Linked DNA regions of Sus scrofa. The protein of the gene in region 1 binds, or shares a complex with, the protein of each later gene. Links are inferred from orthologs where the notes say so. Each region holds a gene or a part of one and is shown in the gene's direction. Other genes may lie near its edges. The genes, in order: SART1, SNRNP200, PRPF3, PRPF4, LSM4, UBL5 and SNRPD2.

Region 1 (3,594 bases):
GGCTGAAACCCTTGGAAGTCAATGCCGTCAAGAAGGGTGAGCGTGGGACTGAGGAGGGAGGGAGGGTGGGCTGGTCGGGTCCAGAGGGAGGCCCCCTGAAGCGGTCTTTGAGGAGAGTGGGGCCGAGGCACAGGTTCAGCACCAGTCGTGGTCCCGCGTGTGCGCGTGCGTGCTGCGATGGGCACGGGGCGGGGCCCTCCCGGCTGTTGTGACGCGGATCCGGGACTCAGCTCCTTCTTTCTGTTGGAGCAGTTGGCGTCACAACCTCACTCTGGCTGTGAGGTAGCATTAGATGGGCCGAGAGATCTGCACAGTTGCTGTGCACTAATCTGGCCTGTGTAGGTGTTGAGTGTGTTTTTGCGGTTTTTTTAAAAGTATGATCAGAGGGGAGTTCCTTGGTGGTCTAGTGGTTAAGGATCCAGTTTTGTCGCTGCTGTGGCTAAGGTCACTGCTGTGTTGAGAGTTTGATTCTTGGCCTAGGAACTTCTGTATGCCACAGGCATGCCCCCCCCCCAAAACAAATGTGATCAGAGGGGGTTTGGAGGAAGGCCTGGGGGGTGACATGGGAGTGCGGGATCCTGTGGGAGTGGGGGGGTGAAGGACCTTCTGGCCCCTGAGCTGGAAGGGGCAGCGTGAGTGGCTCCCTCCTCTCCCCACCAGCCATGGGCAGGCATAGCCTCACGTCTGGGCCTCCCTTCCAGAGGCGGGCACCAAGGAGGAGCCCGTGACTGCCGATGTCATCAACCCCATGGCCTTGCGACAGCGAGAAGAACTCCGAGAGAAGCTGGCGGCTGCCAAAGAAAAGCGCCTCCTCAACCAGAAGCTGGGGTGAGGGGTCCCAGCTGGGCAGGCTGGGGGGTGGGGTGGGGGCCTGGGGAGGCGCCGAGGAGCTGCCAAGGTGGGTCGGGGAGCCGGGACTGGCTCCCCAGAGGGTCACTCTCGCCCCTCTTCAGGAAGATAAAGACTCTGGGGGAGGATGACCCCTGGCTGGACGACACTGCAGCCTGGATCGAGAGGAGCCGGCAGCTTCAGAAGGAGAAGGACCTGGCAGAGAAGAGGGTGAGGTCCTGGGCAGCCGGGGTGTGGCTTAGCACCTCTGGTGGCCTGACTGGCTGGTGAGGCTAGGGGCTGACCTGGAGAAGTGAGGCTGGGCCCAGAGCAGTAGGAGGCCCATGGTCCGTGGTGCCTGTGTTGGGTTCTCGGCAGCTTGTCTGCAAGGCATGTGCTTTTTTTTTTTTTTTGTCTTTTGTCTTTTGTTGTTGTTGTTGCTATTTCTTGGACCGCTCCCGCGGCATATGGAGATTCCCAGGCTAGGGGTTGAATCGGAGCTGTAGCCACCGGCCTACGCCAGAGCCACAGCAACGCGGGATCCGAGCCACGTCTGCAACCTACACCACAGCTCACGGCAACGCCGGATCGTTAACCCACTGAGCAAGGGCAGGGACCGAACCCGCAACCTCATGGTTCCTAGTCGGATTCGTTAACCACTGCACCACGACGGGAACTCCGGCATGTGCTTTCTGAGCTCCCCCCTCAGTGAGGCCCCGTGTCCTCTGGAGATCCCGAACAGCGTGAGGTCAGAGGTCACCCCCTCCCTGTCCTGTAGGCCAAGCTGCTGGAGGAGATGGACCAGGAGTTTGGTGTCAGCACCCTGGTGGAGGAAGAGTTCGAGCAGAGGCGGCAGGTGAGGCTTCAGCAGCTGATGGGGGGGCGGGGGGCTGCCATCCCGGTGCTGGGATCCCAGGGCCGGGCGGGTCGGCTCCCGGCTGAGCTGGACCCCTCTTTCTGCCTAGGACCTGTACAGCGCCCGGGACCTGCAGGGCCTCACCGTGGAGCACGCCATCGACGCCTTCCGAGAGGGGGAGACGGTGATCCTCACCCTCAAGGACAAAGGTGGGCTGAGCGGGGTGCTCCGCCTGGGCACGGGCCGGGCCGAGGGCGCGCGTGACCGGCTGCTGCGTCTGCCTCGTCTCCAGGGGTGCTGCAGGAGGAGGAGGACGTGCTGGTGAACGTGAACCTGCTAGACAAGGAGCGGGCGGAGAAAAACGTGGAGCTGCGCAAGAGGAAGCCCGACTACTCGCCGTACGCGGAGAACGAGAGCGTGGACGACTTGGCCCAGGCAGGCCGGCAGCACAGAGGGCGGCAGCGGTGGCGGCCGAGGAGCCCCTGAGGCGATGGTGGCTCTGTGGCTTTTCGGGGGTCAGGCTGGGTCCCAACCTGTACTTCCTGCTTTGCAGCAGAAACCCCGCTCTATCCTGTCCAAGTACGACGAGGAGCTCGAGGGCGAGCGGCCGCAGTCCTTCCGGCTGGAGCAGGGCGGCGTGGCCGACGGCCTCCGGGAACGGGAGCTGGAAGAGATCCGGGCCAAGCTGCGGCTGCAGGCTCAGTCCCTGAGCTCGGTTGGGCCACGGCTCGCCTCTGAGTACCTCACGCCAGAGGAGATGGTGAGCCCTGGGGCCCCATCCGCACACGATCGGTCGTGATCCTGCCTCCCCTCCGCGATCGCCTGCCACCAGGATGAGCAGAGGTGGGAGGGTCGCGTTATGGCCTGGTGCTCAGTCCCTGTGGACAAGCAGTAACCGGCAGCCCTGGTGCTGCAGGGCAGCGGTGGGTGTACACAGAGCAAAGACCGTGAGCCAGGTGGCCCTGTGCTGCTGTTCAGGCTCTGCCACATAGTCAGTCTATACACAGAGTGAGTCTTTCAGCGACAGGCCTGAGCTCTGGTCTGAAACGGGTGACAGGAGCCACCGAGTAAGGGGCTGCTACAAGGACTGGTGACGCGTGCTGAGCGCTGAGTCCGTAGCTGTCAGTAGATGTTGCATGTGGGAAGATTGAATAGCAGGTGGGCAGCTGGCTCGCTAGATGGCCTGGCTCAGTGGTTAAGAGCCAGACCTTGGAGCCGGACTCCCGGGATGCAGGGTCCTGGCTCTCCTGCTTGGGAGGCTGGGTGACTTTGGACGAGGCGCTTAGCCTCTCTGAGCTCGGGTTTCCTCATCTCACAGGTGGAGTGAGGGGCGTCCACACCTTGTGTCACGTTCACGTGGCTGAGGCGCTCAGGACCATGGCCGGCCCAGGGTAGCACTAGAGCGGCCTGCCTTCTCGTGGGCCCGAGCTGCCAGCCTCCCCGAAACCGCGTCTCCTCTGCTCTCCTCCCTCCAGGTGACTTTTAAAAAGACCAAGCGGAGGGTGAAGAAGATCCGCAAGAAGGAGAAGGAGGTGGTGGTGCGGGCCGACGACCTGCTGCCTCTCGGGGACCAGACTCAGGACGGGGACTTCGGCTCCAGGTGGGCTCAGACGTGGGCCTGGCGTGGGGGGCTGGGCCGGCCGGGGCCGGAGCTCACCCGGAGGCCTCTCCCCACAGGCTGCGGGGCCGGGGTCGGCGCCGAGTGCCCGAGGCGGACGAGGAGGCCCAGGAGGAGGAGGAGAAGGAGCCGGTGCCTCTGCCCCCGCAGTCAGATGACACCCGTGTGGAGAACATGGACATCAGCGACGAGGGTGAGGGCCCAGCGGCTGAGAGGGGGCAGAGGGGGTGGGACGGGGGCCTGGGGGGCCCGGGGCCCCGGAGAGGACCTGAGCAGGCAGGCGACTTCTGTG
Region 2 (3,594 bases), on another chromosome or scaffold:
AAGTTCTTATATGAGCCTTTGCCAGTAGAGTCTCACCTGGACCACTGTATGCATGACCACTTCAATGCAGAGATTGTCACCAAGACCATCGAGAACAAGCAGGACGCCGTGGACTACCTCACCTGGACCTTTCTGTACCGCCGCATGACACAGAACCCCAACTATTACAACCTGCAGGGTCAGCGGGCTTAGGAGCACATGTTATCCTTTTGCGGTTTCCACAGCCCTTGCTTGCCACCTCCCCATGACTCCCCGCTTACCTCTCACCTTCGCAGGCATCTCCCATCGTCACCTGTCTGACCACTTGTCAGAGCTTGTGGAACAGACCCTGAGTGACCTGGAGCAGTCCAAGTGCATCAGTATTGAGGACGAGATGGACGTGGCGCCTCTGAACCTGGGCATGATTGCTGCCTACTATTACATCAACTATACCACCATTGGTGCGGGGCCACCGGGGGCTGGTCTGAGGGGAACCTGAGCTTAGAGGGACCCTAGGCGGGGTCTGCAGCACAGAGGGATGAGTTATGACAGCCTTCCCGGGCCCTGTGTATTTGCCAGAGGAAAGCAATGCGGGCAGAGGTGGGGTAGCCCAGGCATTAACTCTCCTCCCTGCTCCTTTTCTGTCTGCGTTGACTCCTCCCACATCTCCTTCCCTGTTTCCCAGAGCTCTTCAGCATGTCCCTGAACGCCAAGACCAAGGTGCGAGGGCTTATTGAGATCATCTCCAATGCGGCTGAGTATGAGAACATTCCCATCCGACACCATGAAGACAACCTGCTTCGGCAGGTGAGGCTGTCATGGCTTCAGAACACCCTTGGAGTTGAAACTTGGCGGTGTGCCCACAGCACGTGATCCCCCGTCGCCACTGGCTCAGGCCTCACTTGCCTCCACACACGTCTCAGCCCCCAAGATGCACCCCTCCACCCGCCCCTGTGTTGTGAAGTATTGTGAGCCTGGGTCAGGTGGAGCTGTGGGCCCCAGAGCAGGGCCACCTCTTCATCACCGGCTCTTTTTCTTCCACATTCCAGTTGGCTCAGAAGGTCCCCCACAAGCTGAATAACCCCAAGTTCAACGACCCACACGTGAAGACCAACCTGCTTCTGCAGGCTCACCTGTCCCGCATGCAGCTGAGTGCTGAGCTGCAGTCGGATACAGAGGAAATCCTTAGCAAGGTATTGTTTGGGCACGGGGCTGGGCACAGGGGTGGCCCACGTGCCATCTGAAGCAGCAGTTTTGAACCACCCTCCCTTGCTCTCCTACCCGTGTTCAGGCCATCCGGCTCATCCAGGCCTGTGTGGATGTCCTCTCCAGCAACGGCTGGCTCAGCCCAGCCCTGGCAGCCATGGAGCTGGCCCAGATGGTCACGCAGGCCATGTGGTCCAAGGACTCATACCTGAAACAGCTGCCACACTTCACCTCAGAGCACATCAAACGCTGCACAGACAAGGTGAGCCGGGCCTGGGCCTGGAGTGTTGGTGGCCGAGCCTGAGTGTCCTGTGCTGGGGCGGGGGTAGTGGGAGGGGAGACTTTTTCTGAAGGTGTTACCCACGGAGATGCTAGAGAGCCTGATGGTTGTGGGCCGAGTCTTTAGGTGACCTGGTAGTGTAGGAAGTCAAATCAGCTGTTCTTTGGAGCCAGTTCCCTTTGCTGCTAGTCTGCATTCCCTCATCTTCCCTGACCTCTGAACGCCTACTGCAGGGGGTGGAGAGTGTCTTCGACATCATGGAGATGGAAGATGAGGAGCGCAACGCGTTGCTGCAACTGTCAGACAGCCAGATTGCAGACGTGGCCCGGTTCTGTAACCGCTACCCCAACATCGAGCTGTCCTACGAAGTGGTGGATAAGGACAGTATCCGCAGGTGAGCCAGAGAGGGCCAAGGCCCTCCCCCAGGGTCCCCACTGGGCACAGCTCTGATGCATACCTTGTGTTTGTCCCTGCAGTGGTGGGCCAGTTGTGGTGCTGGTGCAGCTGGAGCGAGAGGAAGAAGTCACAGGCCCTGTGATCGCACCTCTCTTCCCACAGGTACGGCTACTAGCTTTACCAGGGCTGCCCTGAGGCCCTACTAGCTGGCTAGAGTCTGGGCCAAGGGGTCCACAGTCACTGGAGTGATACCCAGGTATTTGGTATTTAGAGTAATACCCAAGTCATTTGGGTGAGGATTAATCTTGGGGCCATGGGTGATTGTGGTGGGAGTTTTTGCTTTAAAGCAATTTAGGTGACTGGTTCAAAGTCCCAGTTGTGCAGTGCCGTCGATATCCATGGCTATGAAGAATCATTTATCTTTACCTCTAAGTGGTCCAGGATAATTGGGCTTTTCTAGCTGGTGTTTCTTCTCCCCCCTTTCTCACTGCTACATACTGTTTCCAGTAGCTTGGCTCTTTACTGCCCAAAAGGAAATCTGACCCCTTACAGGGGAGAATGACTGATGGCTGAAAGCAGAAACTAGATACACTAATGTTTAATTTTATAAATGTGTTTAATAGGTTCTGAGGAAAGAGCACTTTAACTGGAATTCTTGGGCTTTCTGGCAGAGGAGCAGCCAGCAGAGAGGGATTCTTTATGGAGGCCAGGCCTGCTTTGGATCCTCTTCACTGGCAGGCTCATCTCCATGTTGCCATGTTTTCCTCTGACATACATGCTTTCACTTGAAAGGGTCTCTGAGGAAGTCCAGGTTGCCAGGCCCCACAGACTAGATGTCTAATCGTGGAATCTTGGATTTAGTGGCAAGCACTGAATGGGAGAAGGGACTTGGACCAGGAAAGGAGCCAGAACCAACAAATGAGTTCACCTACCTACCTAAAAGTTGATTTCTCTTGAGACACCTTTAGACAGTTTAAAATCTTAAATTAATTTTGGGAAGAAATTTTAGAAAGCTTTCTTTCTGGTTTTTGTTGTAACTTTCTTTTCTCCTGGTGTCATGGCCATCAAGTCTTTTTTTTTTTTTTTTTTTTTTTTGTCTCTTTGCTATTTCGTGGGCTGCTCTCGCGGCATATGGAGGTTCCCAGGCTGGGGGTCGAATCAGAGCCTACGCCAGAGCCACAGCAACGCAGGATCCGAGCCGCGTCTGCGACCTACACCACAGCTCACGGCAACACCGCATTGTCAACCCACTGAGCAAGGGCAGGGATCGAACCCGCAACCTCATGGTTCCTAGTCGGATTCGTTAACCACTGCGCCACGACAGGAACTCCCATCAAGTCTTAATACTCTGAAATTGTTGGCTTTTGGTCACTACAGAAACGTGAAGAGGGCTGGTGGGTGGTGATTGGAGATGCCAAGTCAAACAGCCTCATCTCCATCAAGAGGCTGACCCTGCAGCAGAAGGCCAAGGTGAGTGTGTCCACTGGCCCCAGCGCGTTCTGAGGTGGGCAGGGTGAGAACTCTTCCTCTGCATCGGAGCTCACCCTGAGCTCTACCTGCTCTCTCTAGGTGAAGCTTGACTTCGTGGCCCCGGCCACTGGTGCCCACAACTACACTCTGTACTTCATGAGTGACGCCTACATGGGGTGTGACCAGGAGTACAAATTCAGTGTGGATGTGAAAGAAGCTGAGACAGACAGTGACTCAGATTGAGTCCAGAGGCACCTGCTCTT
Region 3 (4,107 bases), on another chromosome or scaffold:
TGTGCCAGGCCAGGGATCAAACTTGCATCCCAACACTGCAGAGATGCTGTGATCCTGTTGGGCCACAGTGGGAACTTCATGAGTTTAGCTTTATATAAGTTCTTTACTGAGGGAGACACAGGTTTAAGAAGCACTTGAATCGTGTTCTGCTGGACTACAAAATTGGGGAGGCTTACAAGCTTACAGGTAGTTAAATAAGTTGTTTATTAAAAATTATAATTGGAGGAATTATAATTGGGGTTAAGAACTAGTATCCACGAGGATGTGGGTTTGATCCCACATCAAACTGGCCTTGCTCAGTGGGTTAAGGATCCAGTGTTGCAGCAAGCTGCAGTGTAGAACACAGGTGCGGCTCAGATCCAGTGTGGCTGTGGCTGTGGCACAGACCAGCAGGTGCAGCTCCGATTCAACCTCTAGACCAGCAACTTCTGTATTCTGCAAGTTAGGCCGTAAAAAGGAAGAAAAAAAAAGAAAAGAATTATAATTGGAGCTGGCAAGAAGTAAAGGTGCTTGTTAGGTAAGGATTAGTTGAGGACCAAAATGGTTGATTAGGAATTCCTGTCCTGGCTCAGCGAGTAAAGAACCCCACTAGTATCCATGAGAACACAGGTTCCATCCCTGGCCTTGCCCAGTGGATTAAGGAGCCAGTGTTGCCCTGAGCTGTGGTGTAGGTCACAGTCCTAGCTCTGATTCTGCGTGGCTGTGGCATAGGCCAGAAGCTGCAGCTCTGATTCAACCCCTAACCCGAATTTATATATGCTGCAGGTGGGGCCTAAAAAGTACTAGACTGCCAGCAATTATTTGTTTTGCGAATGAATGGAAGAAAGAAACAAAGGTGTGTGAGAGGGTACTATCTTCAGACTCCTCCCACACTAGTCGGTTTTCTGGGTCTCTTGGCACCACTGTTAAGGACAAAGGCTAAGGAGAGAGTGGTTAATACTAACGATCACTACTCTGAAGTTTACTTCCTACCAGAAAGTCCAGGTTTAGCCCAAACGCAGAAGCTCTGCTTTTAGTTCTAGCCATAGCCTTAGCGCACTTATTCTCCACGGGAATACTACAAGCAGCTCAATTTATGCTTCAGGTAACATTAATTTTGCGCTAATGTAGTTAACAGGTTTAGCACGGGGAACCGAAGGAGCCAAGTAGCTTGCCGGGGGAAATCGTTACGGCTCCGCCACGCATGCGCTCCGCCGCGGAAAAGTAGCTACTACGGCTGCGCGAACCGGGGCCCCGCCCTCTTTCGTCACAAGTTGTGGGACCGTGGCGAGGCAGCAGCCGTGGCGGTAGCGACGGCAGGCCGTAGGGCGGTCGGAGGGTTTCCGGTTCCGGTGTAACGTTCGGGCTCCGTCTCAGGGGCTGAAGTTTGTGAGGTGAGTAGTGGCCCCGGGCCCAGAGAGGGTATGCTCGGGTCCTAGCGGCTGGGGCTAAGTTTCAGTCCAAAGGGAGGACCGAGGCGGGAGGTTCAACAGAAAGGAGGCTGAGGAAAGAACCAGGTTCTGTGCGAGAACGGGTTGGAATGAGATTGTTGAGAGGAAAAGGGCGGGGGCGGGAAAGGGACAGGGTGAGGAGACTACCTCTGAGATGAGTTTGGGTAGAACAAGGTGGGGAAAGGGTCCGGTCAGAGAGATGGAGAGAGCAAAAAGCAAAGGATAGGGTTTAAGGGAGGAAATTCGACTTGTAGCAAAGAAGAGCACGAAGTAAGGAATTCCTTCAGAAGATTAGATTCTGCTACCTGCTCATTGAGATCATTCTGCCTTCCTCTCTCTCCCTCCACACCGTAACCACCCCCACCCCGCCCCACGCAGTTATTGTTGAACGTCTGATTAATGACAAAGCTAGTTACTATTTGGAAGTTTGATTTTTGCCCACTGACTGTTTAGTCTGCACGTTATATTATGGAGGGAATGGGTTGAAATTGAGTACATAAGTATAGTGCTTGGGCATACGGTTCGTTTATAGAGTGGTACCCCGTTTATTGCTTTGGATTTTCAAACGGCTTAAACTTTCTAATCTATGATTCAGTTCTAGTGGAATATAAGCCCTCTAAGGTGAGGATTCTTGTCTCTTTTGTTCACTGTTGTATGTATCCTTGGCAGTATCCCACTACATTAACACTTAGTTGTTGTGCAGTAAATACTTACTGAATGAATTAAGTGCCAGATAGCTATGGCAGTTGTCCTCCTTTTGTAAGATGAATGAACTGAGGCTCAGAGGAATTGCTTGACAGAAGGTTAGTAAATGGAAGAGCTCTTTCTTCACTCCCTATGTTGTCTGAATACCCTTCTTTTGAGCATTGAACAGTTAGCATGTTGAAATTGATAAGCTATAGTGCTGTCTCATGATGGGTAAATAGAGCCATCATAGATTTATTATATAACATGTCAGTAAGACACAAAATCTTTTACTCCTAGTTTCATGACTTCACTAGCTTCATATGGTTATACCAAAATTAAATACACTGTTTAGCAACAGGTCTTATAGAGGATAAACCTACCAAGAATGCAGAAGTTAATTAGACTGTACCGGAGTTCTTGTCGTGGCTCAGTGGTTAACGAATCCGACTAGGAACCATGAGGTTGTGGGTTCGATCCCTGGCCTTGCTCAGTGGGTTGAGGATCCGGCGTTGCCGTGAGCTGTGGTGTAGGTCGCAGACTCGGCTCGGATCCCACGTTGCTGTGGCTCTAGCGTAGGCCGGCGGGTACAGCTCCGATTAGATCCCTAGCCTGGGAACCTCCATATGCCGTGGGAGCGGCCCAAGGGGGGCAAAAAAAGTTTTAAGATATCTTTTCTCCTAAAAGGTACAGTGTAATTTTTTTTTCTTCTTTCTGGATATCTTTTCTCCTAAAAGGTACAGTGTAATTTTTTTTTCTTCTTTCTGCCATTTCTTGGGCTGCATATGGAGGTTCCCAGGCTAGGGGTCTAATCGGAGCTGTACCCGCCGGCCTACGCCAGAGCCACAGCAACGTCGGATCCTCAACCCACTGAGCATGGCCAGGGATCGAACCCACAACCTCATGGTTCCTAGTCGGATTCGTTAACCACTATCCTATGACAGGAACTCCATCTTAAAACATCTTGAAGCGTTCTTTTGTAGCTCAGTGGGTTAAGAATCCAGTGTTGTCACTGCAGCAGCTTGAGATGCTTCTGTGTCGTCCACGTTCCATCCCTGGCCCCAGAACGTACAGTAGCAAAAAAAAAAAAAAAAAAGGAAGAAGAAGAATCGTATTAATTTGCATTTAAAGATTGTTCTAGAGAGTCTTTTATGATGGTGTTTTCTCTGTTAAGCTAAACAGGAGAAAAATAGAAGTGGAAAGAGAGTACATCCAAAATGAAAGTAATCTTTTCTGAACTGAGAGAATATTTATGACAGAGGCCCTGTAGAACATAAGAGAAAAATATCTGAGTACAGAATTCCCACTAGGATGAATGTGACTACAGAGAATTGTGAGAGCGAGTTCCTATTGTGGTTCAGTGGTAACAAACCTGACTAGTCACCATGAGGATTCGGGTTTGATCCTTGGTCCCCTCAGTGGGTTAAAGGATCCGGCTTTGCTGTGAGCTGTGATATAGCTCATGGACAAGGCTCAGATCCTCTGTGGCTGTGGCTGTGGCCAGCAGCCACAGCTCGTTTGGACCCCTAGCCTGAGAACTTCTGAAGATGTAGCCCTAAAAAGACAAAAAAAAAAAAAAAAAAAAAAAAATTGACAAAAACAGCCTTAAGGATTATGAGCTTTAGTATAGGATGACTGATGTGGATAAAGCCTCCCTTATTTGCATGCCTTAAAGAAGGCCTGGGTTGGAGTTCACAATGTGGTGCAATGGGTTAAGGATCTGGCCATGCCACAGCTTTGGCTCGGCTTCGTTCCCTGGCCCGGGAACTTCCATATGCCATGGGTGCTGCCAAAAAAAAAAAAAAAAAGAAGAACGGCTGGGTTGAGGAATACCTGCCTGGAAATAAGAATAGAAAAGCTGACCTCTAAGTGGACTTTATATAAATATTTGCAATCCTTGAATATGACAGAATCAAAAAAGAAGCTGGAACTCATTTCTTAGACTAGGTTAAATTCAGGGTTTGTTTATTCCACAGATTTCATTGATCCACTG
Region 4 (4,256 bases), on another chromosome or scaffold:
TAAATAAATAAATAAAATGAGGTATGTACAGTTCCCATCGTGGCGCAGTGGAAATGAATCTATCTGGGAACCATGAGGTTAAGGGTTCCATCCCTGGCCTCACTCAGAGGGTTGAGGATCCGGTGTTGTGGTGAGCTGTGGTACAGGCCGGCAGCTGTAGCTCTGATTAGACCCCTAGCCTGGGAACCTCCATATGCCGCAGGTGCGGCCCTAAAAAGCAAAAAAAAAGTATGTACAAACATAAATGATTATTACATGTTTCTAGGATGTAGCTAGGGACTGTGAAGTATACAAAAGATAAAATTTCCCCTCCTCCCATGAAGCCTGGGACTGAGACAAATGATATTATCAACACAAAACACTGACACATTACATTTCAAATTTTTTGGTACTAAATCAAATACGATTTTTTTTTTTTTTTTTTTTTGTCCTTTTAGGGCGCTCCCACAGCATATGGAAATTCCCAGGCTAGGGGTCTAATCAGAGCTGTGGCTGCCGGCCTACGCCAGGGCCACAGCAATGCCAGATCCGAGCCGCGTCTGCGACCTACACCACAGCTCACCCTAATGCCGGATCCTTAAGCTCCGGATCCAACTGAGCAAGGCCAGGGATCAAACCCACAACCTCTGGTTCCTAGTCGGATTCGTTTCTGCTGCGCCACGACAGGAACTCCCAAATCAAATAGGATCTTGATTCCAACGTAGACAAAGGCAAGAGGAAGCCAAAGTTCCAAGAGAATGCTTAAAAGAAAAAAACAACTGTGATACATTCTAACTTTCCCGCAAGCTGTAAAAAGCTCACCACTATGAAGAAGTATAGTGTAATGGGTAAAAGTGCTTGCTTTGGAGGCAAAGGGCAGAGACTCAAATTCTGTTGCCACTGATTTTGGACAATTAGCTTCGCCTTTCACTAGATCTTAGCTTCTTCCCTTGTATCTGTACTCAGGTGTTGTATGGATTGAATGACGTGATGCAGATAAGTGCCTGTAACGTACGTAACTTGGCATTTAGTAAACGCTCAAATATGTAGCCATTATTATTGTAACTGCCCTTGGAGAGGGTAGGAGGCTCTGTCCAGCTCGGGAAACAACAATAAATTTTGAAAAATCTCCACCCCCGATACGGGAGCAAAAACCTTGTCTTGTCGATCTCTGGTGCCCCAACACCCAGGGCAACACAGGGCTGTGCAGAGCTGCTTGCGCGCAGTTTACCTGACGCCTGACATTCTTCATCTCACTCCGAGTAATATAGACCAAACACAGGCCATGGCTCCTCCGCTGGCTCTTTATTTTACTCTGGCGCTAGAGGGCTCTTCGAGCTTATTCTTTCGCCACTGCCCAAATGCACCGAAAATCCACCCAGCTCAAAAGAAGCTGCCGAGAGAACTTCCCGACAGCGGAGGAAAGCACACTCCTTTCGCGGCTACAGGACCGCACTCCTGGGTCCGGGGCAAAGGTTTCCATGGCAACATGGTCCACCACTCTAGGAGGACTTAAAGCTCTTCGCAGGGCCGGGAGCGGCAGCAGACCCCGGAAGGTGCCGTTTCACTCCCGGAGTTCAGTCCGGAGGCGCGCGACTTGAAGCACCTACCTCTTTTCAGCCCTTTCCCGGAACCTCAGCGCCCACCCCGAATCTTCTGCTATGTCAACTGCACTACACCTCCCAGGTTGCTCTGAGTCTCTCTCCTCGCAGAACCTCGTCCTCCGCGTGCTCTTTTTAGAGGCTGTACGTGTCACAACGCTCAACGCACCCAGAGCCTTTCCTACTACGATTCCCATCATGCTCTACGGCGCCCAGGACGCGGCTTCGGCCCTCGGCCCACTTCCGGTCTGGACGTAATTCCGCTTTGTTAGGCGCGCGGTGGATGGTCTGGAACGTAGGGCTCGCCTCTTGCTGAAGCTTCGCGGCCTCGGAGCCCAGCATGGCTTCCTCGCGAGCCTCCTCCACGGTACGGATCTCGGCTCACTCTGGCAGGGCAGGGAGGGCGGAGGGGTGGGGGGTCCGTGCAGAACAGAGCCGTTAGGGAACGGGCGGTGGAGGACTGAGGAGGAAGGCTGCCAGACTCGGTCTGGTCTTAGAGAGCTGAGCAGCGTTTTTCTTTGAGTGACCGGAGTGTGTTTTAGGTCATTTTCATCTCTTACTACAACAACCCTAAAATGTAAATACCTCTTCCGTCTCGTTCAGAAACGGAGCTCTGAAAGGGAGTAGGGTTTTGGCCAAGATTTACGACAGTGTCAGTCTTGATTATAATGAGGCCTCCTAACTTCATATCTACTACCTCGCGTCTGAAAACGTTTGAATTGTATAGACCGGTAACTTTATAACTTGTTCCCCTTTATCATGGCGTTGGTTATTTCAGTTATTCTTGATATCTCCTGTGATGAGCAGTGGCCCTGAAAGTTTCATAAAACCCAAGAAGAGATTGCACCTCCAACCAAATGAAGTAAACATGTTCCAAAGCAAACCATTGATAGAAAAATCACAAGAGAAATTCACTAGTTTTATCTATCTCTTCCTATCTGCAAAACTTAAAGTGACTGAGAGACTGGAACACTCCCCCCTGCCCCACTCCATCAGGGAAGATACATCTTAATTGGTGTCCAACTTGTCTTTTTTGGGGGAGGGAATAGGATTGAAGCTCTGGATAAGCTTCATCCTCTGGGAAGCTAGCAAATTGCTGAGATTAAGCTTTAGGTTCATCCAGGTCTTTGATTTAACAGGCAACCAAAACTAAGGCACCTGATGACTTAGTCGCTCCTGTTGTGAAGAAACCACACATCTATTATGGAAGTTTGGAAGAAAAGGAGAGGGAACGGCTGGCCAAAGGAGAGTCTGGGATTTTGGGAAAAGAAGGACTTAAAGCAGGAATTGAAGCAGGGAATATTAACATAACCTCTGGTAAGATGCAAACTGTAGTCCATCTCTACTTTGGGTGCTCAAAATTTCTGTAATATTTACTTTCCTAAACGTAGATATCACAAGTATAGTGTCAGAAAACTTCGCATATTAAACTTGCATCTATTGGTGTTCCTATTGTGGCTCCCGGGTTACACGAACCCAACTTGTATCCAAGAGGATGCAGGTTGGATCCCTGACCTCATTCAAATGTGGATTAAAGGATCCACTGTTACTTTGAGCTGTGGTGTAGGTCTCAGACGTGGTTCAGATCCCAAGAGCCTGTGACTGTGTTGTAGGCTGGCAGCTGCAGCTCCAGTTTGACCCCTGGCCTGGGAACTTTCAAATGCCCCAAGTGCGGCCCTAACAAAGCAAAAAAACAAAAAAACAAACAAAAATTTGCATCTTTCGAAGGCCATACTTTCTGCCTACCCATTTAACATTACCCCAGAGCCTTTTTTCTTTTAACTTTTTTTTTTTTGTCTTTTTTGCCATTTCTTGGGCCACTCCCACGGCATATGGGAGGTTCCCAGGCTAGGGGTCTAATCGGAGCCGTAGCCGCCAGCCTATGCCAGAGCCACAGCAACTCGGGATCCAAGCTGCGTCTGCAACCTACACCACAGCTCACAGCAACGCCGGATCATTAACCCACTAAGCAAGGCCAGGGATCGAACCTGCAACCTCATGATTCCTAGTCAGATTCGTTAACCACTGCGCCACGACGGGAACTCCCAGAACCTTTTTTCTTAAAACCTTTTATACAGGTTTTCTTCCCTGAATTGTTAATAATTTTACTGGGAATTTATTCAGTGTGTGTTTGGATTCAGATTGATTCCACTTATCTTATGGATATCTAGGATAGTTCTGGCATTGGTTTGGAACTACCCTGGTTCATAATATTCTAACTTGTTCAGTTTTCCAATTATTTTTCACCCAAAATGAAATATCTCTTTCAATTAAAAGCAATAGCTGTTTTTATTTTGAAAGAGATTAGTTAGAAATGTGTGAGGTAGAAAAGCCTATAATCCTTATTAATTAGGTCTATATTATTCCAAGAATTTAATAAAGCTACAGAAATACAAGATTTTTTTCTATAAATGAAATCATGATAAATTATTTCGTAACCTGCATTTGTCATTCTGTTTACTGTTGAGGATATCTTTTGATGTCAGTAACTAGTGGTCCACTGTTTTTAAAATAAAATTATTCATATTTGTCATAAGAAATTCAAATCGTACTGAAAGGTGTAGAAAGACCTCTGCAGATAGGATTCTGTCATTTCTATTAATACTCCCACACATTTTCTTTTTCTGTACACATGTGCTCTGGTGACTTTTTTAACTTTTTATGTTGTTTTAAACA
Region 5 (4,208 bases), about 53 Mb from region 1:
GTGTAGGTTGCAGACGCGGCTCGGATCCCGCGTTGCTGTGGCTCTGGCGTAGGCTGGTGGCTACAGCTCCGATTCAACCCCTAGCCTGGGAAACTCCATATGCCGCGGGAGCGGCCCAAGAAATAGCAAAAAGACAAAAAAAAAAAAAAAAAAAAAAGAGGAAGAGTTGAGACACAGAGACACACAAAGAAAAGCACCATGTGATGACAGAGGAATCTGTGCCAAGAACTACAAGGATTGCTGGCAGAGAAGCATGGGATGAATTGCCCCTCAGATCCTTCAGAAAGAACCAACTCTGCTAAAACTTTGATTTCAGTCTTTCGGATTAAGTTTTACTGTTTAAAACCACCCAGTTTGGAGTTCCTGTTGTTGCTCAGCAGTAAGGAACCGGACTAGGTATCCATGAGGACTCAGGTTCAATCCCTGGCCTCAATCAGTGGGTTAAGGAAGCTGCGGTGTAGGCCACAAATGCTGCTCAGATCCTGCATTGCCATGGCTATGGTGTAGGCAACTGTAGCTCCATCCAATTCGACCCCTAGCTTGGGAACGTTCATATGCCATGGGTGAGGACCTAAAAAGCAAAAAATATTCAAATAAAAATAAAAAAATAAAACCACCCAGTTTGATCATTTGTTATGGCAGCCCAAGGAAACTAATACATTTGTCTATTTTGTTTACAGTCTGCCTCCCCAGTGGGCTCCTAAACCTCAGGAGGGCCAGGAGTTTTGTTTGGTTTATTCTCTTCTGTGTTTCCAGGAGGAGGCCCGTAGTAGATGCTCAATAAATATTTATTGCATGTCCGTGTATCAAGTGCTCAGTACGTGCCGGGCACTCTTCTTTTACAAGGCATAAATCACTTGGCACTCATTGCAACCTTCTAAAGCAGACACTATTATTAAGCCCATTTCAAAGGGAAGCAAACTGAGGTTCACACCGGTACGTCTAGCCTATCAAAAGAAGTGCCCTGGACAACGGTCAACTACAATAAAGAGAATCAGAAGAGTAGGAGCTCGAAGGGACACATGGCAATAACCATAGAGCTGCCATTCCTCCATTTGGAAATTGGAGGCACTACCCCGTTTTGCCCACAGCGTGGAGCCCGGAAAAATCACTGAAGATTGCACCTGCGCAGGCGCCCTTACCCACAAGGCCTCCTGCGCCGGCGCACATTGCTCCGCCCCCTTTTGCAGCACTCATAGCGGCACTTTACGACTCTCTCTCTCATTTCTCCGGTAGGAACGCGGCCCGCCCCGCCCCTCGTGTTTAATAGGCCCCGCCTTACTCCGCGTGGATTGGTTGGCCTTCCCATGAGCCTCGTGCTGACTGGCTCGCGTTGCTGCCACTCCATTTCAGCCTAGTGGCGCGCAGAGCTGCAGCTACCGGCGGGAACGTGAGCGGCGGCGGCGGCGGAAGTAGCCCACGAGCCTAGTCCCCGCCGACACCATGGTGAGGGCGGTGCGACGGGGGAGCCGGCCGCCAAGGGCCCTCGGGGCGGTTGTTGGTTCAGGGGCGTTGTGGAGCCAGCCTGTAATCTGGGCCTTGAGTCCTGCCCCTTCGCCCAAGGTGGGGAGGACAGGCCGGAGAGTGGAAGAGCTTCTCCCAGGACACCAAGCACGTCGGTCTCGGGGGAGCTTGGGATTGGATAGAAATGAAATCACAGTATGGCAGTCTGGCAGCAGTCTTCCCATTTTGCAGATGGGGAAACTGAGGCCAGAGAGGAAGGGGACCTGCTGAAGGGCCCGGTGAATGCAGCAGAGTGAGTTTTCGGACGGGGAAATGGCTCCCAGTGCATCCGACCCGATCTGACCTCCTAGACAGTAAAGCTAGAGCACCAGGCAGTAGGGGGCCGGCCTTCTTTCTCAAATTCAGCCAATCTGGGGAATTTCGGGGGTTGTACTGCCCTTGGAATGCTAGCTGCGCAACCTCTTATGCCTCTCCTTTTCAGACTAAAAAGCAGACCCAAAGCAAGGTTAACTTCTTCCGGGGTCACACAGCATATGGTTCCAGGGGAAGGGGGGGCGTTTTCAGCCATGGATGGGCTAACCGTATCCCAGTTTAGAAAACAAAAAAATCGAGGCCCTGGCAGGAAGTCTCCCCAGGGCCATGCCATCTCACAAGTTGTGGAAATTGGAGATCTAAACCAGCGTGCCTGTGTCCCCAGTGAGTGACAGACAGGGAAATGGAGGCCCACACAGAGGAATTGAGCTGGGAGAGAACCTGGCCCATCAGCCCTCGAGTCCTCTAAGATGGTCGCTGCACATTTTTCGGAGCTGACCATGAGGGTTCAGTAATTCTTCTGGTCATTGTAGGGATGGAGAGAAGGGAGCAGCTTCGTTCTCTCTGTTCGTCTCTCTGGAGGGTAGAGTTGGTCTGTGGAAGAATCCATTTGTTAAGCTCCATGGAGATAGGATCTCTGTTTTATCCTCATATATTGCCAGAGCCTAGAACAGTGTCTGTGCAAAGTCTGTGTTCAGGAGTGGCTAAGGCATTACACACTGCCTGTTCCTTGTGGTCGGGGTGGGGCGGAAGCCAAGCCAAGGTCTGGGTGAGGGAGTGGGTGATCAGCAGCTTCCTGAGTTGGGAACCTCAGGACACCATTAAATCCAGTTGTGGAAGTTTCCATTGTGGCACAGCAGAAACGAATCCGAGTAATAACCATGAGGTTGGGGGTTTGATCCCAGGTCTTGCTTAGTGGATTAAGGATCCAGTGTTGCTGTGAGCTGTGGTGTAAGCTGCACACGTGGATCAGATCCCATGTGGCTGTGGCGCAGGCTGGTGGCTGTACCTCCAATTCGACCCCTAGCCTGGGAACCTCCATATGCCATGGGTGCGGCCCTAAAAAGCAAATAAATAAATGTATTTAGGTGTGGATGGACCTAGACCTGAGGGCCAGACCCCAGATGTTCTGAGAAAGGCTAGAGAAAAGAATTCTCTTCCCTGAAGCTTTTTATGACTCCAAATTCCACACAGCCCTTGCTCCCCCCTGAACTGGGTGATCTGCCCTCTCCTGTATCCCTGGCACCTTCATGCTTTCCCCCACCCCAGCATACCCCTCGCTTTCAAGTTCACCAGGTTCCTCCTCTTCCTTTGGCCTTTGTCTCCAACAGCGTTTGGGAACAAGGAAGTAGATATGACCACTGCTGCGGTTGTTGAAGTCTTGGAGGGCTGTCCCAATGCCACCTTTCCCTACCTGAGCTTCTCCTTTTCCTTGTCTTGTGAGGTGTGGCAAGTATTCCCCACCCCACCCCACCCCTGTCACCACCCCCTGCCTGGAGTGCCTCCCTGGGTGGTATGTGCTATATTTGTCAGCAAATATTTACTGAGTCCCTTGCATGTGCCTGGCCCAGTGTTCAGCACTGGACAAAGTCCACACCCTCTGAATTTTCCAGTCTAGCAAGAGGCTTGGTGTTTCCAGTCTAGCCAGGGAGACGTAATAAATAAACAAGTTAATTAGAGACTGGCTATACCCTATAATAGAAGCAGAGGGTGGCCCAGGTGGAAACCTCATTCCCTTGATGGGGTTATAATGAGGGGCTGGCTGAAGCAGAAGTCACCAGCCTGGGGGAGGGCACCCCAGGTAGAGGGAACCAAGGAACAAAGTTTGACCAATAGCACCAGGCGTGGTGTGAAGAAGTGAGCGGGCCAGTTTGCTAGAGCCGTGTCAGGCCTGGCTCTGTGGCTAGCCAAGGGAGCGGGTGTGCAGGGGAGGGTGTGAGCAGGTGCTGGTTCCATCTGTGTCGCTGCCGTCCTCTGAGGTCACACTGCTGGCAACAGCTGCAAAGGCTGTGGGTCCTCCAGGGGTGTGCTACTCGTAGCTGGGACAGGATGGTAGCCTGAGAGAGACAGCCTGAAGGCAAGGTATGCCATAAAAGGACATCTGTGGGTCTTCTGCTAACAGGCATTAATCTGCTTTCCCCGGCTTTACCCAGACCTTGCTCTGTATCCTTGGGTGTCCCTCCTAGCTGCTGGTACCTCATCTAGAGGGGCCTTGGCTGTGCTACTCCTACTCCCTCCACCTCTCCACACAGTCCATTTTCATTCTCACCTTCCAGGACAGGGGCTGGCCTGGCCCTGTCCCCGTCTCCGGTGATCTGGGAGGAGGACTCAAGTGTGTCATTGCTCTGGTCCTGATTCCCGTTGTGGATACAGCAAACAGGCTTGTCCAGGAAAACCCTGAGCTTCTCTATAATAGAATACCACCTGGCTCT
Region 6 (3,288 bases), about 62 Mb from region 1:
GTTACCAAGCATCTGCCCTTTCCCCAGGATGGAATCTCATGTCTTTCACCTAAACTCATCCCAATTTGAGAAAGTGTACCGGTTGAATCAGAAGTGGAGGCCCCTTTTCAGAGTGAATCCTTTTATGCTTTCCAAACTAGGAGAATACTGTCAGCTGAGAAAGTACAGTTCAACGGTTAGGTCTGTCTACTGGCAGGCTGGATCTAGGGAGGGGTGTTCCGTGTCACACCAGCCCTGGATCCGAAAGGCAAGGTTAGGATCTGGTACAAGGTGCCCCCTGCAGGGCGTGAGAAACAGCCCTGGGAGATTTTGCGCTTGTGCAGCTTCCAGCTTCCTTGTCAGTGTTGCAGGTTGGCGTGCAATGGGAACTTCATTCTGGTAAATACTAGTATTCAGGCCAGGATCAGGAGGCTCCTTCGCTTGCTGGCTTTAGTTTGCACCCCAGATGTCCCTGGCGAGATAGCCAGAGGGGAGGGCTGAGCAAAACGTTTCCAAACCCTGAATGAAGGCAGGAGGGCGGACCGGATGCCTCAGAACTCGACCTAAGCTCCCCGTAGCCCTGAAGCTGCAGTTAGAGGCTTCATCGGGTTCAAGAACAGGAGGTCATCCCCCCTTCCCAGGACGTCCCTCAGGAGCCCCTGGCCTCCCCAGCAGATGCCACACCTGACGGCGTTTCGGCACAGTGAAGGGCTTTCAACCAACGGCATCCAATCGGCTGGGCGCCAGTCCATGACCTCTGACTCTCCATGTTCCTTCTCCGCACGGGCTGCGACCTTCACTTGGCCCCGTGCACCGTCTGCAGGTGTCCTCCTGCCCAGGCTTGGGACCACAAATCCGCTCCTGGGAACCGACTTCCCGCCCAGGAGGCGGCGAACTCTGCGGAGTGTTGACAGGCACTGGGAGGAGCCAGGGCCAGGGCTTCCGGCCGAGCACTTCCGCTTCCGGTTCTTAGCGTCGACTCTGTCCCAGGCTCTACCTTCCAGCGAAGAGGTTGTGGCGTCTGCTGGTTCCAGGCGTTTCTTGGTGAGAGGGCCGGGTGGAGAGGGCTGGAGTCGGGGAAAGCTGATGGAACTTGACCATAGTGGATCAGCGGGACTGCGAGAGGCAAGGCGGGGCCTTCAGGCTACCTGAAGCGGGAAGGGGCCAGGGCGGGGGGGCAAGTGGGGGGTGGAGGTTTGGCTGCCTGGGTTCCACGGTCGCCTGGAGTCTGAAGTCCTTGGACACAGGATTCGGGGCCCAGGAGGACCTCAGTGTCGGGGATTGCGCGGGGCGTGAATGTAAGACTCAACAATTGGGGGTCTTGGGACCCTGGAAGACCCCTGAAGTCCAAATTCTCTTGCCTCCTCATCCCCACCCTGTGTAGCTCCAGACAGGATGATCGAGGTTGTTTGCAACGACCGTCTGGGGAAGAAGGTCCGCGTTAAATGCAAGTATCCTTTGGCGGCCAAGAGACAGTGGTTTCCTGGGGGTGCTTGGCTTGAGGCGGGCTGCTCAGTCTGTGCCGTAGGGTGATTCTAGTTAAACCTGGGAGGCGGGGACGGGAGTGGGATCCTGGCAGAGTGCATTCGGTCCTGGAATGCCCTCTTCCTCGTTCTATCTCCCCCTTCCATTTTCCTTAACTCCTTCGTGCCCAGTACGGATGACACCATCGGGGACCTTAAGAAGCTGATCGCAGCCCAAACTGGCACCCGTTGGAACAAGATCGTATTGAAGAAGTGGTGAGTACAGTGGTGGAGATGGGAGCTGGAAAGGAGCTGGCCAGAGACTTTGGGTGGGTGAGTGCTGCAGCCAGCCCTTTGCTCAGGCAGAACTCCTCAGCATGCCTCCAGAATGAAGAGCCTTTTTAAAGTTTTTTTCTGAAAACTTTTTATCCCTTAGGTACACGATTTTTAAGGACCACGTGTCTCTGGGGGACTGTATCCTTTGTGATTTCTTGAGGAAGGGTTTTCATACCCAGACTTGGTTCTCCTTGTTCTATATATAGACTGGAGTCTATATGAGATTATGCACATAATGTATTTAACTTAGTATGTGGTACATGGTGTTTAGAAAATGGGAGCCATGTGATTATTTTGTTGGGGCAGGAGGGTGGTTGGTGAAGTATTTTGACATGGCTTCTAAGACTTTGACACTTTGGAGTTCCCATCATGGCTCAGCAGTAACGAACCTGACTGGTATCCATGAAGACACGGGTTTGATCCCTGGCCTCGCTGAGTGGGTTAAGGATCCAGTATTTTGCCCTGAGTTGTGGTGTAGGTCACAGACGAGGTCAGATTCTGAGTTGCTATTGCTGTGGCTATGGCATAAGCCAGCAGTTGCAGCTCTGATTCGACCCCTAGCCTGGGAACTTCCATATGCTGCAAGTATGGCCCTAAAAGGCAAAAAAAAAAAAAAAAAAAAAAAGAGGGTTTGCAGTCAAAATATTTATTACTGAGTTCCACCTTAGTTGGGCAGGAAGTCACGGTGGAGTAAGACTCAGGCTTATGTGTTGTACAAGAGGATCATGTACTTTTTATTTAAAAGTTTGGATTCTTTTCAAATCAAAATGACCTAGTCCAAAAATGTGGCTACCAGCTGTGAGAGATGGGAGGGGTGGGGGGGGTTCAACCCCACCCTGATGATTCCTTGACTCATTTACTTCAGATGAAATCCATGATGGGATGAACCTGGAGCTTTATTACCAATAAAGCAGAATTCCTTCCCCCCCTACCTTGCCCTTCTCTCTTCTCCTACCCTCACCCCCCACAATAGTGTGGCTGCTTGTTTTTGAAAACTCATGTTAATAAAAACTTAGAGGCTACTTCATTGTTGTCATCTTTGAGTGAGGGCTGTCTCTTGAGGGGAGGGTTGGTATGTGGTTGTCACTATCTTCACAGTAACTAGCTGCTCAGTAAGAGTTCAGGATTGACTGGATCAGTGAAGAGTCAGCCAGTGGGCTGGGAGCCTGAGTTGGAAAACCAGAGCTTTGGGGCTTGCCGTATGTTTCTGAAGGTCAAGAAATCCTGGGATCACTGGCATCCTAATAGATAGAGGAACCTCTGAGTAAGAACAGTAGGTGCAGTAGTTAGGAATACTGGTTTGAATTCAGACAGACTATAGGTGGAATCCCACCTCTGCCACCAGCTGTGACTCTGCACCATGTTACTTAATCTCCCTTAAACTTCATTGCCTTATCCAAATTGGAAATGATGGTATTTACTTCTTTGGTGTGTTATGGAGATGAGATAAAGCATAGTTAAGCAGCCACATCTCCTGGTACTTATGAAATCCTAGTGGACAGAGTGAAAC
Region 7 (4,169 bases), on another chromosome or scaffold:
GATGCTGCCCGAAAAAGACAAAAAAACCAAAATAACAACAACAGCAAAAAACCATTGGCAGTCCTCAGCATCAGGGAAGTGCTTTCCTCTCGGCAGGGGGGTGAAGCTTACCTCTGGATTGCTTTTGCCAATGGCTACTGTGGGACCAAGAACAAAGCTTTCACTCTGAGCCTCAATTTACTCTTGAGTAAAGTGAGAACGAGAACGATAGGAAGTGCCGAGCCCAAGGAGGCAGATAGACCTGGATTCGAACTCAGGCTCTGCCTCTTCCAAACTGTCTGACCTTGGGTGAGTGGCTTCATCCCGCTCTTCTCAGTTTCCTGCTCTGGAAGCTGGAAGGAACTCCAATGTGTGCCTCCTGGGGGTGAGATGCTGTGAGGATTGATGAGTTAATGCTTAGAAAGTCTTGGAGTTCCTGTCGCAGCGCAGTGGTTAATGAGTCCGACTAGGAACCATGAGGTTGCGGATTTGATCCCTGGCCTTGCTCAGTGGGTTAAGGATCCAGCATTGCCGTGAGCTGTGGTGTAGGTCGCAGATGCGGCCTGGATCTGGCGTTGCTATGGCTGTGGTGTGGGCTGGAAGCTGCAGCTCCGATTAGACCCCTAGCCTGGGAACCTCCATATACCGCAGGTGCGACTCTAGAAAAGACAAAAAGACACACACACACAAAAAACTTGGAGGAGTTCCCGTTGTAGCGCAGTGGTTAACGAGTCTGACTAGGAACCATGACGTTGCCGGTTCGGTCCCTGCCCTTGCTCAGTGGGTTTACGATCCGGCATTGCCGTGAGCTGTGTGTAGGTTGCAGACGCGGCTCGGATCCTGTGTTGCTGTGGCTCTGGCATAGGCTGGCGGCTACAGCTCCGATTGGACCCCTAGCCTGGGAACCTCCATATGCCGCGGGAGCGGCCCAAGAAATGGCAAAAAGACAAAAAAACACAAACAAACAAACAAACAAAAAAAACTTGGAAAGTCTTAAAGAGGCCTAGTAGTGGAGTTACTGTTGTGGCGCAGTGGAAAGGAATCTGTCTAGTATCCACGAGGATGCGGGTTCAATTCCTGGCCTTGCTCAGTGGGTCGGGGATCCGGCGTTGCCCTGAGCTGTGATGTAGGTCGCAGACGTGGCTCAGATCTGTGGCTGTGGCATAGCCCAGCGGCTACAGCTCTGATTCGACCCCTAGCCTGGGAATCTCCATATGCCTCAGGTGTGGCCCTAAAAAGACAAAATAAAAAAAAAGTTTCCAGGAAGTTCCCGTCGTGCCGCAGTGGTTAACGAATCCGACTAAGAACCGTGAGGTTGCGGGTTCGATCCCTGCCCTTGCTCAGTGGGTTAAGGATCCGGCGTTGCCGTGAGCTGTGGTGTAGGTCGCAGACGTGGCTCGGATCCTGCGTTGCTGTGGCTCTGGTGTAGGCTGGTGGCTACAACTCCGATTCAACCCCTAGCCTGGGAACGTCCATATGCCGTGGGAGCGGCCCAAGAAATGGCAAAAAGACAAAAAAAAAAAAGTTTCCATCCAATTTCTCCCCAGTTTGTCTAGGTCACCCACGGTCACCAGGCTCTAGGTGGCTTTCAAGGGTTCTATATTGGGAGTTCCCCTGGTGGCTCAGTGGTTAACAAATCTGACTAGCATCCATGACGATGCAGGTTTGATCCCTGGCCTTGCTTGGTGGGTTAAGGATCTTGTGAGCTGTGGTGTGGGTTGCAGAGGCGTTGCTGTGGATGTGGCGTAGGCTGGCAGCTACAGCTCCGATTAGACCTCTAGCCTGGGAACTTCCATGTGCCATGGGTGTGACCCTAAAAAAGAAGAAAGAAAGAAGAAAGAAATCCTTTCTGAAAAAGGATTCTGTATTGGACACCTGGTGGAGTATTTGCTTTTCCTACTCCCGTCTTCCTACAGAAAGTGTTTTCGTTGTTTCAGAAGATGGCTTTCTGTGCATACTGTTCCCTTCCTTGCTTTTCCCGCCCAATGCTATGTGCTCAAGGTCACGCCACAGCGAGGACGGGGCTTCCTCAGGGGTCTCCTTTCTCAGGCGGGATGATACCTCCCTGTAACCTCCTGTCCCTTTACTTTGCTTGAATTTTTCTTCATAGCACTGACACCACCTGCCAGTAGATTTCAGGTGTCTTGTTTACCTGCTGAGTGTTCTTCCCCCGTCAGTCACTAGAGTGTCTGTCTCTCTGTTGAGTGAGCTGAATCACGTGTCCCGCCCACCCCGCCCCCGGCACCCTGAGGACAGGGACAGAGCAGAACTGGAGCAGAGGCATCACGTACCCCGTCAGGCCACCAGGGACTGCTGGTTCTCCAAAGAGAAGCTGTTCCTTTGCTGATGCCTTCAGAAGTGCTCAGAGTTAAAAAGCACAAGCAAAACCATTTATCCTGTGCCTGGCCCTGTTCTGAGTGCTTGATGGGAATACCGTATCGATTCATTTATTCTTCACAACAGCCCGAGGAGGTGGGCTCTGTGAACATCTCCCTCTTGCTCTCCTCTCCTTTCCTGTCTTTTCTCCCTCCCTCCCTTCTTCCCTCCCTGCGGCCAGTGCCAGGGATCTGATCTGAGCCACAGTTCTGCAGTTGCGAGGTCGGTGCTGCTGCTGCGCCAGCAGATCCTTTGACCCGCTATGCCGGGTCAGGAATCAGACCTGTGTCCTGCAGGACACTGCAGAGATGCCCCTGACCCCGTTGCACCACAGCAGGAACTCTGAGCATCCCTGTTTTATTTATTTATTTATTTATTTATTTATTTGCATATTCTTCCATTTTATTTTATTTTTTATTTATTTATTTATTTATTTATTTTGGTCTTTTTTGCTATTTCTTGGGCCGCTTCCGTGGCATATGGAGATTCCCAGGCTAGGGGTCCAATCGGAGCTGTAGCCACCGGCCTATGCCAGAGCCACAGCAACGCGGGATCCGAGCCGCGTCTGCAACCTACACCACAGCTCACGGCAACGCCGGATCGTTGACCCACTGAGCAAGGGCAGGGACCAAACCCGCAACCTCATGGTTCCTAGTCAGATTCGTTAACCACTGCGCTACGACGGGCACTCCTTATTTTTTTTTTTTAATAATTTTTTTTATTTTCCCACTGTACAGAAAGGGGGTCAGGTTATCCTTACATGTATACATCACAATTACATTTTTTCCCCCACCCTTTCTTCTGTTGCAACATGAGTATCTAGACAAAGTTCTCAGTGCTATTCAGCAGGATCTCCTTGTGAGCATCCCTGTTTTAGAGAGGAGGAAACTGAGGCACAGAGGGCCGAGGGACTCACAGAGGAGGCCTTGGAAGCCGGCCAGCCTGGTCCCGGGCCTGCGCTGCTGGAGGAGGGGCGGTCAGGGTCCCGCTCACTCCCGATGCTCCCTCCCCGCCAGGCACTGCAACATGGTGCTGGAGAACGTGAAGGAGATGTGGACTGAGGTCCCCAAGAGCGGCAAGGGCAAGAAGAAGTCCAAGCCCGTCAACAAGGACCGCTACATCTCCAAGATGTTCCTGCGCGGGGACTCGGTCATCGTGGTCCTGCGGAACCCGCTCATCGCCGGCAAGTAGGCGCCCGCCCGCCCTCCTGCTCCCTCCTTCGTGAAGACCTGCCCTTCGTGATGGGAATAATAAAGTCCTGCGTTTTTTCTAGAGGCATCTGTCTGTTCCTGGGGCCTAAAAAGTGGGGCTGAGCCGGGGAGGGGGCAGCTGGCCATGAGGCTGAGCCCTGGGGAGGGGTCCTCCCTGAACCGTGAAGAGGCCTGACTTGCCCCATCCGTGAGGGGAATGGGTTGAGCAGAGAGAGATTTTGCTGTCTTTTCTGCTTAATTTCTTCCAGCTACTCATCGTTTTCTCTGTCTCCCTTCTCCCTACTTCTCTTTCAGTAAGTTGGTTTCACTCTTAAGTTTCTTTCAGTCTTTTTTGTTTTTCTTCATTTCTTTAGTCAAACGATCCCCCAAGTGTCTCCTCTGTGCCCAGCTCTGTGCTGCAATGTTGTAGACACCGCTGTGCCCAGAAGAGCCCCAGCCTGCCCGCCTGACAGGAGGGGAGCTGCATGGTTAAAGCGGTCAGTACCCCAGGCTGACACCTGCTGAGCTGTGAGGGCTCCGGGCTCTGAGCAGGCACTGTGGTTTGTCACCTCCAGCTCCAGAGGCTGGGACTGAGGCTCGGAGAGGTGATGGCACCTGGCCAGG

What was found.
Region 2: SART1 (region 1) and SNRNP200 share a complex: the UniProt entries of both Homo sapiens proteins name them as parts of the U4/U6-U5 tri-snRNP complex. The link is inferred for Sus scrofa from reciprocal best matches to the Homo sapiens genes SART1 and SNRNP200.
Region 3: SART1 (region 1) and PRPF3 share a complex: the UniProt entries of both Homo sapiens proteins name them as parts of the U4/U6-U5 tri-snRNP complex. The link is inferred for Sus scrofa from reciprocal best matches to the Homo sapiens genes SART1 and PRPF3.
Region 4: SART1 (region 1) and PRPF4 share a complex: the UniProt entries of both Homo sapiens proteins name them as parts of the U4/U6-U5 tri-snRNP complex. The link is inferred for Sus scrofa from reciprocal best matches to the Homo sapiens genes SART1 and PRPF4.
Region 5: SART1 (region 1) and LSM4 share a complex: the UniProt entries of both Homo sapiens proteins name them as parts of the U4/U6-U5 tri-snRNP complex. The link is inferred for Sus scrofa from reciprocal best matches to the Homo sapiens genes SART1 and LSM4.
Region 6: the proteins of SART1 (region 1) and UBL5 are in contact, whole or in part, in a crystal structure (PDB 4PYU), measured with the Homo sapiens proteins. The link is inferred for Sus scrofa from reciprocal best matches to the Homo sapiens genes SART1 and UBL5. Residues at the interface, in NP_005137.1 of Homo sapiens: Ser117, Leu118, Ser119, Ile120, Thr123, Leu126, Arg127, Leu130, Leu132, Lys133, Leu135; in NP_001041706.1 of Homo sapiens: Met1, Glu3, Arg15, Lys17, Cys18, Asn19, Asp21, Asp22, Asp26, Lys29, Leu30, Ala33, Gln34.
Region 7: SART1 (region 1) and SNRPD2 share a complex: the UniProt entries of both Homo sapiens proteins name them as parts of the U4/U6-U5 tri-snRNP complex. The link is inferred for Sus scrofa from reciprocal best matches to the Homo sapiens genes SART1 and SNRPD2.

What each region holds. Positions count from the first base shown.
Region 1 is NC_010444.4:6,366,815-6,370,408, reverse strand, and holds part of SART1 (U4/U6.U5 tri-snRNP-associated protein 1), read left to right. Parts: coding exon 1-36; intron 37-701; coding exon 702-828; intron 829-953; coding exon 954-1,059; intron 1,060-1,606; coding exon 1,607-1,684; intron 1,685-1,793; coding exon 1,794-1,893; intron 1,894-1,976; coding exon 1,977-2,119; intron 2,120-2,237; coding exon 2,238-2,444; intron 2,445-3,159; coding exon 3,160-3,284; intron 3,285-3,361; coding exon 3,362-3,495; intron 3,496-3,594. UniProt on the Homo sapiens protein: Plays a role in mRNA splicing as a component of the U4/U6-U5 tri-snRNP, one of the building blocks of the spliceosome. May also bind to DNA.
Region 2 is NC_010445.4:46,956,526-46,960,119, forward strand, and holds part of SNRNP200 (U5 small nuclear ribonucleoprotein 200 kDa helicase), read left to right. Parts: coding exon 1-178; intron 179-275; coding exon 276-440; intron 441-664; coding exon 665-786; intron 787-1,028; coding exon 1,029-1,172; intron 1,173-1,270; coding exon 1,271-1,447; intron 1,448-1,698; coding exon 1,699-1,859; intron 1,860-1,941; coding exon 1,942-2,023; intron 2,024-3,238; coding exon 3,239-3,331; intron 3,332-3,430; coding exon 3,431-3,574; 3' UTR 3,575-3,594. UniProt on the Homo sapiens protein: Catalyzes the ATP-dependent unwinding of U4/U6 RNA duplices, an essential step in the assembly of a catalytically active spliceosome. Plays a role in pre-mRNA splicing as a core component of precatalytic, catalytic and postcatalytic spliceosomal complexes.
Region 3 is NC_010446.5:98,768,871-98,772,977, reverse strand, and holds the start of PRPF3 (U4/U6 small nuclear ribonucleoprotein Prp3), read left to right. Parts: upstream 1-1,253; 5' UTR 1,254-1,373; intron 1,374-4,107. UniProt on the Homo sapiens protein: Plays a role in pre-mRNA splicing as component of the U4/U6-U5 tri-snRNP complex that is involved in spliceosome assembly, and as component of the precatalytic spliceosome (spliceosome B complex).
Region 4 is NC_010443.5:253,904,875-253,909,130, forward strand, and holds the start of PRPF4 (U4/U6 small nuclear ribonucleoprotein Prp4), read left to right. Parts: upstream 1-1,383; 5' UTR 1,384-1,589; coding exon of another isoform or gene 1,590-1,780; 5' UTR 1,781-1,920; coding exon 1,921-1,947; intron 1,948-2,719; coding exon 2,720-2,897; intron 2,898-4,256. Other genes in the region: anaphase-promoting complex subunit CDC26, read right to left, coding at 1,590-1,780. UniProt on the Homo sapiens protein: Plays a role in pre-mRNA splicing as component of the U4/U6-U5 tri-snRNP complex that is involved in spliceosome assembly, and as component of the precatalytic spliceosome (spliceosome B complex).
Region 5 is NC_010444.4:59,498,233-59,502,440, forward strand, and holds the start of LSM4 (U6 snRNA-associated Sm-like protein LSm4), read left to right. Parts: upstream 1-1,327; 5' UTR 1,328-1,443; coding exon 1,444-1,446; intron 1,447-1,695; exon of another isoform or gene 1,696-1,756; intron 1,757-3,418; exon of another isoform or gene 3,419-3,858; intron 3,859-4,208. UniProt on the Homo sapiens protein: Plays a role in pre-mRNA splicing as component of the U4/U6-U5 tri-snRNP complex that is involved in spliceosome assembly, and as component of the precatalytic spliceosome (spliceosome B complex).
Region 6 is NC_010444.4:68,705,213-68,708,500, forward strand, and holds UBL5 (ubiquitin-like protein 5), read left to right. Parts: upstream 1-1,370; 5' UTR 1,371-1,374; coding exon 1,375-1,430; intron 1,431-1,634; coding exon 1,635-1,718; intron 1,719-1,878; coding exon 1,879-1,916; intron 1,917-2,643; coding exon 2,644-2,687; 3' UTR 2,688-2,737; downstream 2,738-3,288. UniProt on the Homo sapiens protein: Ubiquitin-like protein that plays a role in cell proliferation and sister chromatid cohesion by associating with spliceosomal proteins. Participates thereby in pre-mRNA splicing by maintaining spliceosome integrity.
Region 7 is NC_010448.4:52,035,360-52,039,528, reverse strand, and holds the end of SNRPD2 (small nuclear ribonucleoprotein Sm D2), read left to right. Parts: intron 1-3,371; coding exon 3,372-3,546; 3' UTR 3,547-3,629; downstream 3,630-4,169. UniProt on the Homo sapiens protein: Plays a role in pre-mRNA splicing as a core component of the spliceosomal U1, U2, U4 and U5 small nuclear ribonucleoproteins (snRNPs), the building blocks of the spliceosome.